2 linked regions of the Arabidopsis thaliana genome follow. The protein of the gene in region 1 interacts with the protein of each later gene in a pairwise test. Each region holds a gene or a part of one and is shown on either strand. Other genes may lie near its edges.

What was found. Proteins that work in one complex are often made in the same cells at the same time.
Region 2: the proteins of RPT5B (region 1) and HXK1 interact in a two-hybrid assay, tested with the Arabidopsis thaliana proteins (one study listed by BioGRID).

The regions. Positions count from the first base shown.
Region 1 is NC_003070.9:2,933,016-2,941,028, reverse strand, and holds RPT5B (26S proteasome AAA-ATPase subunit RPT5B), read left to right. Parts: upstream 1-1,665; 5' UTR 1,666-1,770; coding exon 1,771-1,887; intron 1,888-2,231; coding exon 2,232-2,348; intron 2,349-2,587; coding exon 2,588-2,695; intron 2,696-2,813; coding exon 2,814-3,005; intron 3,006-3,103; coding exon 3,104-3,295; intron 3,296-3,391; coding exon 3,392-3,510; intron 3,511-3,587; coding exon 3,588-3,675; intron 3,676-3,756; coding exon 3,757-3,876; intron 3,877-4,056; coding exon 4,057-4,197; intron 4,198-4,276; coding exon 4,277-4,354; 3' UTR 4,355-4,501; downstream 4,502-8,013. Other genes in the region: AT1G09130 (ATP-dependent caseinolytic (Clp) protease/crotonase family protein), read left to right, coding at 1-71, 159-232, 453-506, 581-664, 877-957, 1,170-1,298; RBOHB (respiratory burst oxidase-like protein), read right to left, coding at 4,534-4,643, 4,733-5,232, 5,312-5,385, 5,460-5,562, 5,646-5,761, 5,873-5,968, 6,094-6,480, 6,640-7,077 and 4 more. UniProt on the Arabidopsis thaliana protein: The 26S proteasome is involved in the ATP-dependent degradation of ubiquitinated proteins. The regulatory (or ATPase) complex confers ATP dependency and substrate specificity to the 26S complex.
Region 2 is NC_003075.7:14,349,661-14,358,163, reverse strand, and holds HXK1 (hexokinase 1), read left to right. Parts: upstream 1-2,962; 5' UTR 2,963-3,298; coding exon 3,299-3,570; intron 3,571-4,195; coding exon 4,196-4,346; intron 4,347-4,434; coding exon 4,435-4,617; intron 4,618-4,702; coding exon 4,703-4,777; intron 4,778-4,856; coding exon 4,857-5,111; intron 5,112-5,205; coding exon 5,206-5,336; intron 5,337-5,402; coding exon 5,403-5,826; 3' UTR 5,827-6,127; downstream 6,128-8,503. Other genes in the region: AT4G29120 (6-phosphogluconate dehydrogenase family protein), read right to left, coding at 6,299-7,303. UniProt on the Arabidopsis thaliana protein: Fructose and glucose phosphorylating enzyme. May be involved in the phosphorylation of glucose during the export from mitochondrion to cytosol. Acts as a sugar sensor which may regulate sugar-dependent gene repression or activation.

The DNA.
Region 1 (8,013 bases):
CATAGGTCAGGCCTGTCTATTACTTTCTGCGGGAACCAAGGGTAAACGGTTTATGATGCCACATGCCAAAGGTATAGACTTCGACTGCATTCTGGCCGCTTCTATGGCTCACCATTGATAATCAGAACCTCTCATACGTTTGATTCATTATGTCACAGCGATGATTCAGCAACCACGTGTACCTTCTTCTGGGTTGATGCCTGCCAGTGATGTCCTGATTCGGGCCAAAGAGGTTTGATGAATCGCTCTACACACTTAATATTCTGGAAATTTAAATTTGATCGAGATTTTCTCTTTCTGCTTTGCTTCTACCTACTTTCCTATATTATATCTCTGATAATTTGGACAGAAATTTCTCACTTAAGCATTTGGTTCAGAATTTCATGACCTAATTAGGTGAAGAATCTGAGTTTGATTACTTCATCTTCCTCATTCCTGTTATGCAATTGCAGGTCATTACAAATAGGGATATACTTGTGGAACTACTATCAAAGCATACTGGGAATGTGAGTGCGAAATATTTTCATAACTTTGTGGAGAAATTTGATAGCTGATTAAAACATTCTTATATGTCATATAGTCCGTGGAGACTGTAGCTAACGTAATGAGAAGGCCATATTACATGGATGCACCAAAAGCTAAAGAATTTGGAGTCATTGACAGGGTAAGTTTGGGCACTGTAATTTTTTGATGTTGCTTTTCATATGCACATACTAAAAGATTAAAGGTTACATATCGTCACCAAGCAAAGTAACCTTTCCAGTCAAGTTTCCCTCTCTTCTACCTTTTCCTGATGTTTGCCTGTGCGTAATGATGAATTTGTTTTCATACTTTTCCAAGTTAAAGCTTTAAAGATGGTCTCATAATCATTGGCAGATTCTTTGGCGCGGTCAAGAAAAGATTATTGCGGACGTGGTTCCTTCAGAGGAATTCGACAAGAATGCAGGGATTAAAAGCGTAGTATGAGTCTAGTCTTAAGTTTTCTTGGCCTAAATCATACTGTAAGTGACACGCGTAACTCTCCATTGCTACTCTAGGCATGAATCCATCTTATTCATGGAAATCTCTGATGAAGAAATACAAATGCATCTAACTTACCTGCAAATCATTAGAACGCACGCTTGTATTTACAATGATTTGTATTTTGCTTGAACTCTACTCATTTGCAGGCGTCATGGAGAAGAACAAATAGACTGACCAAAATCACATTGGCCGCAGACTGCCTTGTTTCAAATCACTTGGTAAATGTGAACATGCGATTAGGAGAATCATACTTAAAGGATCTTGAAATATTATGATAAAATTGTAATGTGTTTGTTCGTTAGCAATAGTAAATACAATCTTCAACTCTCTTCTTCACCCTTCCGATTTGAATATTGAACAGTTTCTTACTTGTTTCCATTTGGCTTCACTTCTTTTTTGGTCAGCTTTTAAGAAAACTACATCATCAATTTGACCAGATTGCTTAGCAATAACTTGATTTTAAAATAGATATAAGATACATTGTGAAAAAAATAAAAAGGATACAAAACCAAAAACGCTCCGATGCCGGGAATCGAACCCGGGTCTCCTGGGTGAAAGCCAGATATCCTAACCGCTGGACGACATCGGATTTGTTGTTGGGTATTGACTGTGATAATATTTAATACAATACATGTGTTATTAAATTAAAGCTGTTTCTTCGCCCAAAAGCCAAACTCTGTTTCCTATTTATGTCTTCTGAGATCTCTCGTAGACTCTTACAGTGATTAACTCAGGCTGCTAAGGGAGATGGCAACGGCGATGGCGGAGGATACGAGCTTCGAGGGAGACCAACTAGCTTCCATGACTACTGATGACATCGGTAGAGCTTCTCGTCTCTTAGCCAACGAGATTCGCATCCTCAAGGTCACCACCCTCTCTCTCTTCTCTCTATATTTTTAATCTGCTGGCTACTTGGAACTAGTATATTTCTTCATTCCAAGCTCACTATTACCTTAATTTGATTAGCGACACTTTGATTAGTTTTGAAGAAGATGGATGATGTCTGAGAGCAACGATAACTCTTGTTTCATATCACACTTTTTATCAGTCAAAGATATCGAAATTCACTCAAAGTACTTGTTTTTATAGTTAGATAATTATAGAATATGATTAGAAGACATTTATATTTACTGGTCTTTTGCTCATTGGATGAAATTCACCAGAATTTTTTGATGTCTTTTTCTCTCAAATACGTTGATTTGTTGTAGGAAGAATCGCAGAGGACAAACCTTGATTTGGAATCAGTGAAGGAGAAAATAAAGGAGAACCAGGAGAAGATTAAGCTTAACAAACAGCTTCCTTACTTAGTTGGCAATATCGTTGAGGTACTTTCACTGACTCTTCTCTTGGGGTGTTTCACATTCCTTATATGGGGCTTTTGGTTTTGGTATGTATAACATTCCTTTTTGTTGAGTGACACAATTGTACTATGCTTTTGATTACTAGTAGTGTTAGCCTGATGAATTCCTTGAATCTTTGCCACAGTAGTTCAGACATTTTACCATCAAATTTTTTTTTGTGTAATGATGGAATTAGGATTTGATCTATTATCCGTGCTTTCTAGATTCTTGAGATGAGTCCAGAGGATGATGCAGAGGAAGATGGAGCGAATATCGATCTGGACTCTCAGAGGAAGGGAAAGTGTGTCGTTCTAAAAACATCAACTCGTCAGGTGAAGTTTTAGACTCTTATATCACCGTTAGAGAGATTTTCAGAACTAGTGGGGAACAAACTCTGACTACTAGTGTAGTGTTTGTATAATGATCTCATGGGTTAATTATACTTTTCAGACCATCTTCCTCCCTGTTGTTGGACTTGTTGATCCAGATACATTGAAGCCTGGGGACTTAGTTGGAGTTAACAAAGATAGTTACTTGATTCTGGATACTTTACCTTCTGAGTATGATTCAAGAGTAAAAGCAATGGAGGTCGACGAAAAACCTACTGAAGACTACAATGATATAGGGGGACTAGAAAAACAGGCTAGTTGATGACTCTCCTGTTTCATGTTTCCTTAGTTTTTAGTATCTCTGGTACAATATTTGATGTTGGTGACTCTCCTGTTTTTGTAATTAAACAGATACAAGAACTTGTTGAAGCCATTGTGTTGCCAATGACTCATAAAGAGCAGTTCGAAAAGTTGGGTATCCGTCCACCAAAAGGTGTACTCTTGTATGGTCCTCCTGGAACCGGAAAGACGTTGATGGCCCGAGCTTGTGCAGCACAGACAAATGCAACTTTCCTCAAACTAGCAGGGCCACAACTTGTTCAGGTATGAAAACTAGAGTAAACGTAACTGATTTTGATCTTGTTCCTGTGATATTTTTTGAACCAAACGGAAAGTAACTTTTTTTAGACTTATGTATAGATGTTCATCGGAGATGGAGCAAAACTTGTCCGTGATGCTTTCCTGCTTGCAAAAGAGAAATCCCCTTGTATTATATTCATAGATGAGATTGACGCAATAGGGACAAAGCGTTTTGATAGGTACTCTATCTAGAGTCATGTCATAACTATTTTATTTTCTTTCTGATGACTAATGCTGACTTTTAATTGGCTTACAGCGAAGTTAGTGGAGACCGTGAGGTACAAAGGACAATGTTGGAGCTGCTCAACCAGCTTGATGGATTCAGCAGCGATGATCGCATTAAGGTTGTTACCCCTCATATTACCCCTGCAAATGTCTATTTATTTAGTGAAAGGCATGAAAAACTCATAATTTTACAAACTTAGGTTATTGCAGCGACAAATCGTGCTGATATACTAGATCCTGCCCTTATGCGTTCTGGTCGTTTGGATCGTAAAATCGAGTTTCCGCACCCCACTGAAGAAGCTAGAGGCAGGATCTTACAGGTTCTGTATCCTTTACTGCATCTTTTCTTTTTTCTTTCTTTATTTCTATGTCGTTTTAAAGCTAAAATTAGAGAGCTTCATGCACTTAGACAAGTCTTGCTGTGATTTTCTATGTATTCCGCGGATAACTTATCTTGGGTACTGTTTTGTTTTTGCATAATGTTGGCGATGGGGTTACAGATACATTCAAGGAAAATGAATGTGAATGCAGACGTCAATTTTGAAGAGCTTGCTCGGTCAACGGATGATTTCAATGGAGCTCAACTCAAAGCAGTGTGTGTTGAAGCGGGTATGCTTGCCCTGCGCCGGGATGCAACTGAGGTATGCATATATCTTTCGTCTTAGTGGTTGTAACTTTAGGATGTGGATGATATGGAGGAAATGGTAAATGTGTGTGCAGGTGAACCATGAGGATTTCAATGAAGGTATAATTCAAGTACAAGCCAAGAAGAAAGCAAGCTTGAATTACTACGCCTAAGTCCTCTTTTATGTACACTCTTCTTTCTCCTCTTTACATTATAGAAAACTTCAAGTTGTAGTCTCAACTTTTGAATCTAGAACCCCTTCAAAGTGTGGTTATAATTATAATAGATATCAGCTTGACATATTTTGCTTATTATTTTCTAATGATGGTCTGATGGATGAATAGAATCGAAACTAGAAATTTTCCTTGTGGAACTCAAACTTGGTCGTAGTTTTCCTAGAGAAATCTTGAGCCAGTCTCTTTAACTCTCCTATGATGCATGTATTACCACAGTAGAAAACCCCTACCAACAAAATAGAAAAAGGAAAATCAGTTACTTACTAGAAAGATTCTACAATAGCTATGGAATTGTTGTAATAGCTAGTGACATACCAACTCGTTGATTGACGTGGTTGACTGCGACGTGCTTGAAGACACTACGCCAATTGGGTCGAGCGAAATGGGTTCGGACCCGAGTGCCCGATACGATGTCAATGCCGCTCTTGGCGTGGTGCAATGACTGCAACATGGTGATTAGTGCTGACCTCGCATCTCCTTCCTCATACACGCTAGTGCAGTAATTATGTAGTTCAATCATCCCCTCACTATCATACTCAGCTACCTCGTTCATGACCTCACTGAACCATTCCAATGATCCTTGCTCTCTTGTTACCCAATAAAAATAAGCTCGTTTTGTGGCAACATAGTTTTTTATGTGTTGGTTAGTGCCTCGTTCGATGGAATTCTGGTTCTTGATGTTGTTAAGGACGTCCCTGATTATGCTGATTAATGGCGTCGCTCCGATCCCTAGACCTACTAGAAGCAATACATCGTAGTTCCGGTAATCTTGTGCGGGTGCACCATATGGACCATCGATTAACAGCCTCGGAAACCTTTCCATGTAAAATTCATTAGAAAAATTGCTCATGTTTTTAAATCATGATTACTCAAATTATAAATCAAAAACTGTACCTGGTTATATTGTTGGCTTGACCTATGTCAGCTATGAAGAGCCCACTTTGACTTGTTGAGGGAAGTTGACAAACCTATGGTTTTGTAATTAAACAAATCAAGTACATATATCATTAATTCACAAATGTTACTCTTGAAAAATAGTAACCTTGGAATATAAGGATTTGAGTTGCGATGTCCAGTCTCCGAGTGTGCGGATATGAACGCTGAGGTAATCATCCCCGGAAGCCGAAGTAATTGAAAACGGATGCCTACACAAAATTGAAAATAGGTTAATAATAAAGTTAAAATCTTATGCTTGTACAAGTTCAGTGGCATTGTATTGTTGATATACCATTGTAATGGTGAGACGTCAGAACAGTTAATATATATGTACTGTCCACTTGTGTACTTGAAACCTTTAGGCTTCGACATGTAAAGTGAAAGTACATTTCCTGGATATACTGCCACCTGAAAATCAGTTTGATGTCAATAGAAATTAAAAAAGTGAAATATATCCTTGATTTTTGTCTATAATAACAAGAATGCATGTATATTATTGTGAACAGATCATAGAAATACCTTCAAAACCTTGACAGCCTTGGCACCTGGTCTAAATGCACGAATCAATCGTTCAAATGCATATAGTAGTACGGGAACTGCCAGATACATCCACGTCTGTCCAAAGGTAATAATAACAAAGGATGCTTTCATCAACAAAAATTATCATATGATCTTTTCGTCTGATTTTCTGAACACTCCGTGATTAATCAAGACGCAAGAAAAAATATATGTATACGTACCGTCTTGTGGTACCATTCCTTTGAGAGATAAACAAAATAGCCATGCACGATGAGAAGAACATAAACGATGACAAACAAATGGTGTGAGTACCAAAATGCGTTGAAACCAGTCAATCGTTTCAACGATTTTGGTAGGTTTGCCCGGTTTCGTCTGAACCACGACTGCGCCAAGACGTAGGCCACTAACATAAGAACCACCATGGTAACACCGGTCCACCCGTCTGTCCCTTTCATGAACCATCCATAATTTTCAGGCCTCTCGTCTCCGAAAAACTTTTTCATTGGCTCAAACTCTACATTTTTTGCATGCAGCAAACGCGGGAAATCACATGCCAGGTGAGATATAGCGTGCAAGCCTATTCCAACCGCGATCCCAAATGCAACAACCTGCATGGACATAAAGATTAAGCATAACCAAATTATATTGTTACAAAAGTCGTATATCTTTTTGTATTCTTCTACAACAACAAAAAAAACATGGATTATTGGACAATGAAAATTATATAATGTGTATAGATATGATATATATTAATATACATAATTTACCTTGTGGAAATTGATATTGTCATCAAATGGAACAACAGACCCAATAAGCTTGGACTTGGTCCTTAGCCAAGTGATAGTGTTCCTACAAACGGGCAAGAGAATGAGAGCCATGTTGAATTTCAAGGTCTCTGCACTGCCTTTGGCCACGGTAACACAGTAGCCCATCACCTCGAACACGGTTTTGCGTTTATACTGGAGAAATTTCCAAGTGAAGAGAGTGATGCAAATGGATATCCACAATGTTAACACCCAAATCCTTTTCCAATTTTCCAAGAAGAAGTATGATATATTCATAGCAAATCTTTTCACCGGGTTTCGATCTTTTGTTGGTATGAGCTTCTGGCTCAACATCTTGTTGAGTGCACGTTTGTTCGCGGAAGATGGACTGTTATTTGATTGGCTAGGAACTTGGAGAAGCAATGTTTCCAAGTTATGTAACTGCAAGTAAACCATTGCTCAACTATATTTTCAAACACATTGAAATATATAACAAATACATTTACAACTGATTTTAAGGATTTAACCATGTTTTTAATAGTGATGTTAAACAAGTGTAACCATTAGATAGTAGACAACGAACCTCAATATATCCGAGGTTGTCGCGATCTAGTTCTTCCATGATCAAGGCAGCATATTCATCTACATTTTCTTTAATCTTTGATAGCTTGTTAGCCGAAGCACTTAAAGCAATTATCTATAATTCAGCCGAAACAACTTAGATTGTAACATTTTTATATTAGGACCATAACGAAATTGAGATCAATTTAATAAGGTATACCTCACCTCCTTAACCTCATCTCCTGTAATACGTCCGTCCAAATTTTTGTCCACCCTTATATACATAAACACAAAGAGATAACTAATCAACTTACCATATTTTATGACAAATGATAATCATGCATTATACTTGTCAAAATACTATAAATAAATATAAAATCATGCTTACATATCAAAAAAGATTTGCAGCCTATCATCAAAACTATTGCCTGTGATCTGCTCCCAGAATTCAAACAATTCAGTTTTGGTGATTGACGATGACGTAGTCCCTCTCCTTCGGACCAACGCCTCAAAAAGCTCGTTCACAAATTCGCTAGATTCAACCATTCCTATTTAGTTGAAATAATTCTTTTAAAATTCAGTTAAAAAAAAAGTAATAAAAAAACAAAACTGTATATGAGAAACAAGTTGAGTATTGCAGTGAAATTACAGAGAGAAAAAAATGAAACCAAAAAAGGTATATTATTTAAAGTTTTTTTGTTTACCTATGCAATGTCCAAATTTGGATTTAGGGAGTTTCCCTTCAACGGCCAACTTATCAAACCTCATTGCAACCTCATCCCAGCCTCTACCAACGGCGTCGTTTTTGGCAATGAA
Region 2 (8,503 bases), on another chromosome or scaffold:
TTGGAGAATTTCTTATTTTTCAAAGATGAATCAGCAATGAGTTTAAAGCCATAAAGTTTGACTCGTTAATGCAATCATATGAATAAAAAAGCCATTTATCAATGTGGAGCGATGATTCAGTAAAATGTCCGGTCCTAGCTGGTAATGGATTTCGTCTCATTTTTGCAACAATTTTTTTTATAACAAATTAAAGCTTTTAGTTTTCCTCTTTATTTATTTGATCCTTTTGACAGTGCTTTAGTGGGATTAGTACGTGGCGCCTCTTCGATCTTCAGAAGCAAACATGTAAACCAGATTTCATTTTTTTTTGCTCTAGTTTATGATATTTTTCCTAGTTCGAAAATATTATATGCATGTGTGTATATAACTATATATTGATAGTCTGTGAGGTGAAGGATTGAGCAAGTTAAAACTTATATAATGCAATGCTCTTTCGAATTCAGCATTCGTCAGTCTTATTTGACGCGAAGTCGAATCTATTTTGGAACACTAGTCAGATGTACATTATTGAGGACCCATATGAGAACTACACGGATTAAAAAAAAAAAAAAAAGTCTTGCATTAACTTTGAATTTTGGTGAATCATCACATCATATAAAATTATAAATACACTATCACCGGTTCTTTTTACCCGTTTCCATGTTAAACATGGGGTTCATAATATTCATATATGTACACTATTGTCTTGTAAATTTTTGGTATGGTACTTGATCGTGTTTCATGCATTTATAATCAGTCGCATATCATGTACAATAGTCTCCGCTGTTTGGGAACAAAAAATATCTAGTTGTCTAGTTTATGGACGAATTACAAGCAACGTAAAAATGATCGTAAAGTCAAACTAGATGTTGTTTACTTGTTTTGTTCTTATACACACAAACAATTAAATATGCTTTTTTTTGGGAAAAAAACGCTTTGTTTACGCTTGTGATTAGGTGCATCTGGTATAACAAAAGCCTTCGATAGTCTACGGTCATTTTTTGTGTGCATAAATGTAATAGAATATATATATAAAATCGTTGTGATGACAACAAAACAGTGTCATAATCGATTAAAGTAAACTGTCATTTACGATTCTAGAGATCGTAAAATTATCAACGATAGCAATGCCAATAATGTTATGTAACCATATATACTGGAGTATTTGTTTTGAGTAATATTAAAGATAATTATGTTCAGCGGAAAAAAACTAATGTAATTAACTAAAATCAGATAATTGTTAATGATGAAAATAAGATCTGGATAAGATTTTGAGGGGTCGACATCATTAGTCTCCTCTAATTGTTGTTCGAAAATTAATGCTCAACTTTTAATGTATGTACTAATTGATTATAAACATTATATTAGTGTTTGAAATCACCTTAAATCGATAGATAGAAAAATCATTAAAGTTTTTTCACGTCTAGCATTTATCAACAACACACATCTGCAACATTTTAGCCGCTCCACAATGTAGTCCGTTCCGGTTTTTATACATGGTTCCGGTTTCATCCAAATTTTTACAGTTATTAATAGTTTATGAATACTTGAACAAAATTAAACTATAGTAAAAAAAAAAAAAAGTTTCTCTAAGATTTTGCTATTGTTCGATTAACTTTTCCACTCTGATTCTTTGGATTGGGTTCTTAACAGAAAAACAAATACGTGATGGTAATCCTCTCTCAGTTTTTACCATCGGAAAATGAATTTTTATGATGTCGTCAAATATCGAACATGCGGTAATAATCAGAGACATGCATTGCTATTAGTATTTCGTTTCCCCACCTATATTTTGGTCAAAAGCAAACGTGTGGGGGTATACATACCTTTTCTTTCATGTAATGATACATGCTTTTTATTTGTATATAAATATAATTATATTATATGATATCTAGAGTATCTAAATTTATTCAGTGATCTTCTTAATCAAAGGTTAATCATATCAAAACAACATTAGTGAACTGGATTGGGACCACTAATGAGTTGAAATAAGTTACCAGCTATTTCTTCTAATATCTGATAAATACTACTATTAGTCATAAGAACAACAATTAGAATTAATAATATTCGTAACCATAATTGAGAGTTGACTTGTAAAGAAAAAAAAAAGTTATCTGATGTACTCAGGAACTATTGCAAAAATACTATAAGAGCACAATTTAAAGATTGATTAGATTTTTTAAAAATGAGATAATGGAGAATCTAATGATGCAGAAATTGTTGTTCCCACACGGACATACAATATGATAGTGTATTACTTTTTTGATTATAATCCGTTGGAAGAAGATTTTATCAAAACATCAAAAATTTAAGACTTGTAAGACCTCTAAGAAAATAATTTAATATCATTGTTCAACATGTATATAGTGTAAGTACTAAGTACACCCTGTAACCCTATTAGTAATCTTGACTACCTTTTTTTAATAGCAAATTTGGTTGTAAATTTGCTATATTAATAATGGGCTTGGTATAGATTTTATTTTAGAAGGTCCATTACTTTCAATTGGAGTAAATGAACCGACTTTAAAGACTTTTAACTCAGGCCTTAATGTTACACAATAGAATAACATTATGACCCGGCCCAAATAAGTCGTCAGATCCAGTAAGCGTGCGACCAAACTATTTGTTTCTTACCATCGATATAAACTTTAATGATTTTATACAAATTGAATAACATATTTATACAAATTGAATAATGATATGGATAATCCCTTTTATCTAAACAAAAAGAAGTGGATAATCCACATCATATTTGTCTGTAAATTATTTGTTTTAGTTATCTACTGATAAAAACATTGTTTATCTATATTATTTTATATTATGTAGAGCCATTATCTCTTACGATTGAGCATTTTTAATCTTCTGACAGAAAAAATGCTAAGAATTAAAAGGACAAAGAAAAAAGAATGTGCAATTATCATGTGGTTGATTAGAGGTTTGAGAATGATTGGTGCTACCAGAAACTTAGGTGGAGAAAAGGATAAAAACCGAAATTAGACAAAAGGTTAATTTCGTCATTTCAACAGATTCTATTACCACTTCTTGTTTTGTTTTTCCATACTTTACGGACAAGAACGAGAGAAGCTCTCGCTTACGTGGTTTCTACACTGTTTTTGACGAACCCACCAAGCTCGAGTAGATCGGTATTAGATCCATCTTAGGTTTCTCTAATTTCTCTCAATTCACTCCAAAATTTTGATTATTTCTTCTTTCTGGCTTGTCAATTTTAGTCATTTGTAATCCTTGCTTTTGCGATCGGAATCGTAAAAATCCGATCTTTCTTTTAGATTCGTTTTGTTTTTGATTCCAAATCGGAAAAATGGGTAAAGTAGCTGTTGGAGCGACTGTTGTTTGCACGGCGGCGGTTTGTGCGGTGGCTGTTTTGGTTGTTCGACGACGGATGCAGAGCTCAGGGAAGTGGGGACGTGTTTTGGCTATCCTCAAGGCCTTTGAAGAGGATTGTGCGACTCCGATCTCGAAACTGAGACAAGTGGCTGATGCTATGACCGTTGAGATGCATGCTGGTCTTGCATCCGACGGTGGTAGCAAACTCAAGATGCTTATCAGCTACGTTGATAATCTTCCTTCCGGGTAATGTTTTCTAATTGGATTCAAATTCTGTTGCTTTTCATTGAAATTTTCAATCTTTGTCATATTAGAAGATAGAATATTTCTATCTCCTAATATGTCATCCATTCAATGTTGTTGATTGTGTAATATGGATTACGTTATGAAATGAGTTTCGTCCTGATTTGGAGATGTAATTGCATTGTCTCTTAATGGTCAAAATTGATCGATTAGATAGGATTATTGATCTACTGTTTCAGAATCAGTGAATCTTTTGGAATCCAGATCATGTCCCACTGAATCATTGTCTCATTTTCTTATAGGTTTTGTTGTATCACTTCTTGATTTTGTAGATTTGTTTTCATGGATTTGAGAGTTATTGCCCTTTTGATTAAGGTTTAATACATAGTTACATTAAGGCAGACAATGACAGTGATGTGAATATGATTTGTCTGAAAAGTCTGTCCACAGACATCACTTTTGTCTTATGGACTTCGTGATTAGATGGCATGATGGCATTGATTATGTTATATTACGTAGAACATTTTGGTGCGGTTTCATTTTCGCTTTAATATTGTTAGCCAATGCGGCAATGCGTCTAGTTTCATGTTGTAGGTCTGTCTTACATTTACTACCATTAATATAACAGGGATGAAAAGGGTCTCTTTTATGCATTGGACCTAGGGGGGACAAACTTCCGTGTCATGCGTGTGCTTCTTGGCGGGAAGCAAGAGCGTGTTGTTAAACAAGAATTCGAAGAAGTTTCGATTCCTCCTCATTTGATGACTGGTGGTTCAGATGTCAGTTTTCTGTTCTTCAATTTGTCATGTTTAGTCTTAGATGATCTTTGTGTAACAAGATTCTTTTGCGTTCTTTTGATGGATTCAGGAGTTGTTCAATTTTATAGCTGAAGCTCTTGCGAAGTTTGTCGCTACAGAATGCGAAGACTTTCATCTTCCAGAAGGTAGACAGAGGGAATTAGGTTTCACTTTCTCGTTTCCTGTTAAGCAGACTTCTCTGTCCTCTGGTAGTCTCATCAAATGGACAAAAGGCTTTTCCATCGAAGAAGCAGTTAAGCTCGATTTTCGTTCAACTATTTCACTTAAAATGTTTAGTTTTCGCCTTTGCCTTAATCTTTGTTTAACCTGTTGCATAGGTTGGACAAGATGTTGTTGGAGCACTTAATAAGGCTCTGGAAAGAGTTGGTCTTGACATGCGAATCGCAGCACTTGTGAGTTCTCTTTCGCCTTATGCTCTCTAGTGAATCCCTTTTGTCATGTGTTTGTTGATTTGTTTTTGACGTTTTACAGGTTAATGATACCGTTGGAACACTAGCCGGTGGTAGATACTATAACCCGGATGTTGTTGCTGCTGTTATTTTAGGCACTGGGACAAACGCAGCCTATGTTGAGCGTGCAACCGCGATCCCTAAATGGCATGGTCTGCTTCCAAAATCAGGAGAAATGGTTATAAACATGGAATGGGGAAACTTCAGGTCATCACATCTTCCATTAACCGAGTTTGATCACACGCTGGATTTCGAGAGTCTGAATCCAGGCGAACAGGTACGAGTTTTTAAACCCCGGTTTGTTGTTACAAAATGCCAATACCTACGAGGTGTCTCGAGAATGAGTTTCTATGTGGAATTTCATTTTGCAGATTCTTGAGAAAATCATTTCCGGTATGTACTTGGGAGAGATTTTGCGAAGAGTTCTTCTAAAGATGGCTGAAGATGCTGCTTTCTTTGGCGATACAGTCCCATCTAAGCTGAGAATACCATTCATCATTAGGTACTCTTTACTAAGTTTCATCCTTTGAGGAAGGGCTTTAGTCTAAAGTTCAACAATCATTTGCAGGACTCCTCACATGTCGGCTATGCACAACGACACTTCTCCAGACTTGAAGATTGTTGGGAGCAAGATTAAGGATATATTGGAGGTCCCTACAACTTCTCTGAAAATGAGAAAAGTTGTGATCAGTCTCTGCAACATCATAGCAACCCGAGGAGCTCGTCTCTCTGCTGCTGGAATCTATGGTATTCTGAAGAAACTGGGAAGAGATACTACTAAAGACGAGGAGGTGCAGAAATCGGTTATAGCCATGGATGGTGGATTGTTTGAGCATTACACTCAGTTTAGTGAGTGTATGGAGAGCTCACTAAAAGAGTTGCTTGGAGATGAAGCTTCAGGAAGCGTTGAAGTCACTCACTCCAATGATGGATCAGGCATTGGAGCTGCGCTTCTTGCTGCTTCTCACTCTCTCTACCTTGAAGACTCTTAAAACCTACCCAAAGAGCGCCATTTTTCGGTAATTTACTGAAAGCTTTTCGCTATCAGAAAACGCCTAAGCCAAGTTCTAAGGCGTCATAAAAGAAAGCATTCCATGTTTTTACTCTTCCCCAAGACTTTCTTTGTAGCAAATAAGTTTCCTTGGGAGAAATATTTGTTTTCATGTTCTTCAAAAATAAAAGACTCAGTTCTTCAGATTCTGGGATTTTATTATAACCAGATATGTTGTAAAAACTACAAATTCAAAGCTCACTTCACTGGAGTTCTGAGTATATAAAGATTTCATTTTTCCTCATCATTGAGTACACATAAAACTACTGTGTATGAATCTCATATGCGTACACAAAAGTTTACTTCAAATCATGTTTTACCAACAAATGGGTACACAAAAGATCAAATCTTTACTTCATAACAACATAAAATCTCCAACAGATGCATTATCAGAAAGTGGAACAGAACCTAAATCAAGAGTCAGATGATTGAACAGAGACATTGTTGAGACGTTCAAGAGCCAAGAGAAGAGCTTGAGTACCAAGATCACCTTCACCATGAGCCTTAAGAGACAAGTAAAGCTGTTGAGCAAGAGCTAAACCAGGCAAAGCCAAACCCATCCTCTGACATTCATTCAAACAAATCCCTAAATCTTTCACAAAATGATTCACATAAAAACCAGGATCAAAATCCCTCTTCAGAATCCTATCTCCATACAAATCTATAGACTTAGAACCAGCAGCACCAGTAGAAATCGCTTCAAGAAACTTCTTAACATCAAGTCCAGCTTTATGAGCATAAATCAAACCTTCCACAAGTCCTAACATAGTCGAAGCAATAGTTATCTGATTAGCCAATTTCGCAAATTGACCTTTCCCACTTGTTCCCATGAAGTTGACTTTACCCATTAACGAAAACAACGGATCTAAACGTTTCACGGTGGTTTCATCACCTCCGGCGAATATAGATAGCTTCCCATTCTTAGCTCCTAAATCTCCACCTGAGACAGGAGCGTCTATTGAGAAACAATTCTTAAAGGAAGCAGCTTTAGCTATCTCCTCTGCTAAAGAAGGCTCAGAAGTAGTCATATCAACGAGAACACCTCCTTGACGGAGACCAGATAAAGCTCCGGACTTTGGATCGAGAAGGACGTGACGGACATCGGAAGGATAACCAACGATGGTGAAAACGACGTCGGATTGTTCAGCGACTGAGTTTGGTGAGTCGGCGACGTTAGCACCCATGTCGATGAGAGTTTGAGCTTTGGAGATGGTTCGATTGAAGACGGTGACTGTGTAACCGGCTTTGATTAAGTGTCCACACATTGATCGGCCCATGACTCCGGTTCCGATCCATCCGATTTTGGTGTTTGATGGAGTGATTATATCCGAGGAGATTGTTGAGGAAGCCATTGAGCGACGGAGGAAGAAGGAGGAGACGACGGAGGGAGAGGGAAATCGACGGAGGAGAAGTGGCATTGTTTCCTGTGGTGATTGATGGATTCTAGTAGTTATCGAAAGTTGAGTGGTATACCATCGTAATTTTGAGTTTCTTCGGAGGTGTTTTTCGTCAAAGTACTTTAACGACGTCGGGTTTGTAATCCTGGTTTAGAAAATTGATTTGGTTCGGTTAAACTTGGTTTATTAGGCTCAAGCGTGCTAGTGGTGAAGAAGATAGATAATCAATGGGCATTTAACAAGGCAAGCATGAGAAAATAAATGATAGATGTTTTATAACCTTTCATGTTTTGAGAAAATTTAGAAGAAAAAGAAAGACATGGTTTGGGTTTGGGATTTGATCCAGAATTTGGTTTGGGATTTGATCCAGTATTTGGTTTGGGTTTGGGATTTGATCCAGTATTTGGTTTGGGAATGGATTATATCACGTATATGGATCATCGTAGTTGTTCTCTCTGTCTCCATTGTCTTGAGATATTTGTGGGTTCTCGAGAATTGTCCTAAAACACAACCTCAACATTGTAAGAATATTTCTCTATCATCTTTTTCATGATCTATGCTTTAAGATACTTTTCTCTATTTTATAATGCTTGTTGTTGTTGTTGCATGTTGTATACTTATATGTATACCATCCAAAGCAGTGGAACAACCCCAAGAATCAACTTGCACTGAAGTGGTCGTTGGTGATTCAGTGGAGAAGCTCACACGAAGAATTATAGAAATAGAAGAGCAGCCTGGAAATGAGCGATTGGCGGTAAAGACTGTGGTTGAGAAGGTAAAGCCGAGTGTTGTGAAGGTGAAGCCCAGAAACTTTTGGTGTTTGTGTTAACTACGAGAGCATGACTTGACTAGTATGTCAAATAAACATTGGACTAACAAAATACTCGAATGATCACCAAAATAATTTTAGACTACTACAGTATATATAAAAAATGACTACGTCTTTGGATGTACGAGTAAAGACGTTGTGCGTGTTTAAATACTTGAGGAAGACGTATTGTTGAATAATGTCGTAATAATTATCTGTGCCTGCAATTCTCCATATATATGATCGGAATTAAATTGCACGAAACGTTATGGTTGGTCGATGAACAACTTGAGAGAATGAGAGCGATATTTTATCTTATTCATTTCTCTACTTTTTGATTTGATAAATTCATCATCAATAAATTCACCTAGTGTATATAGTATTCTTCTCATTAAGATAGGAAAATATATACA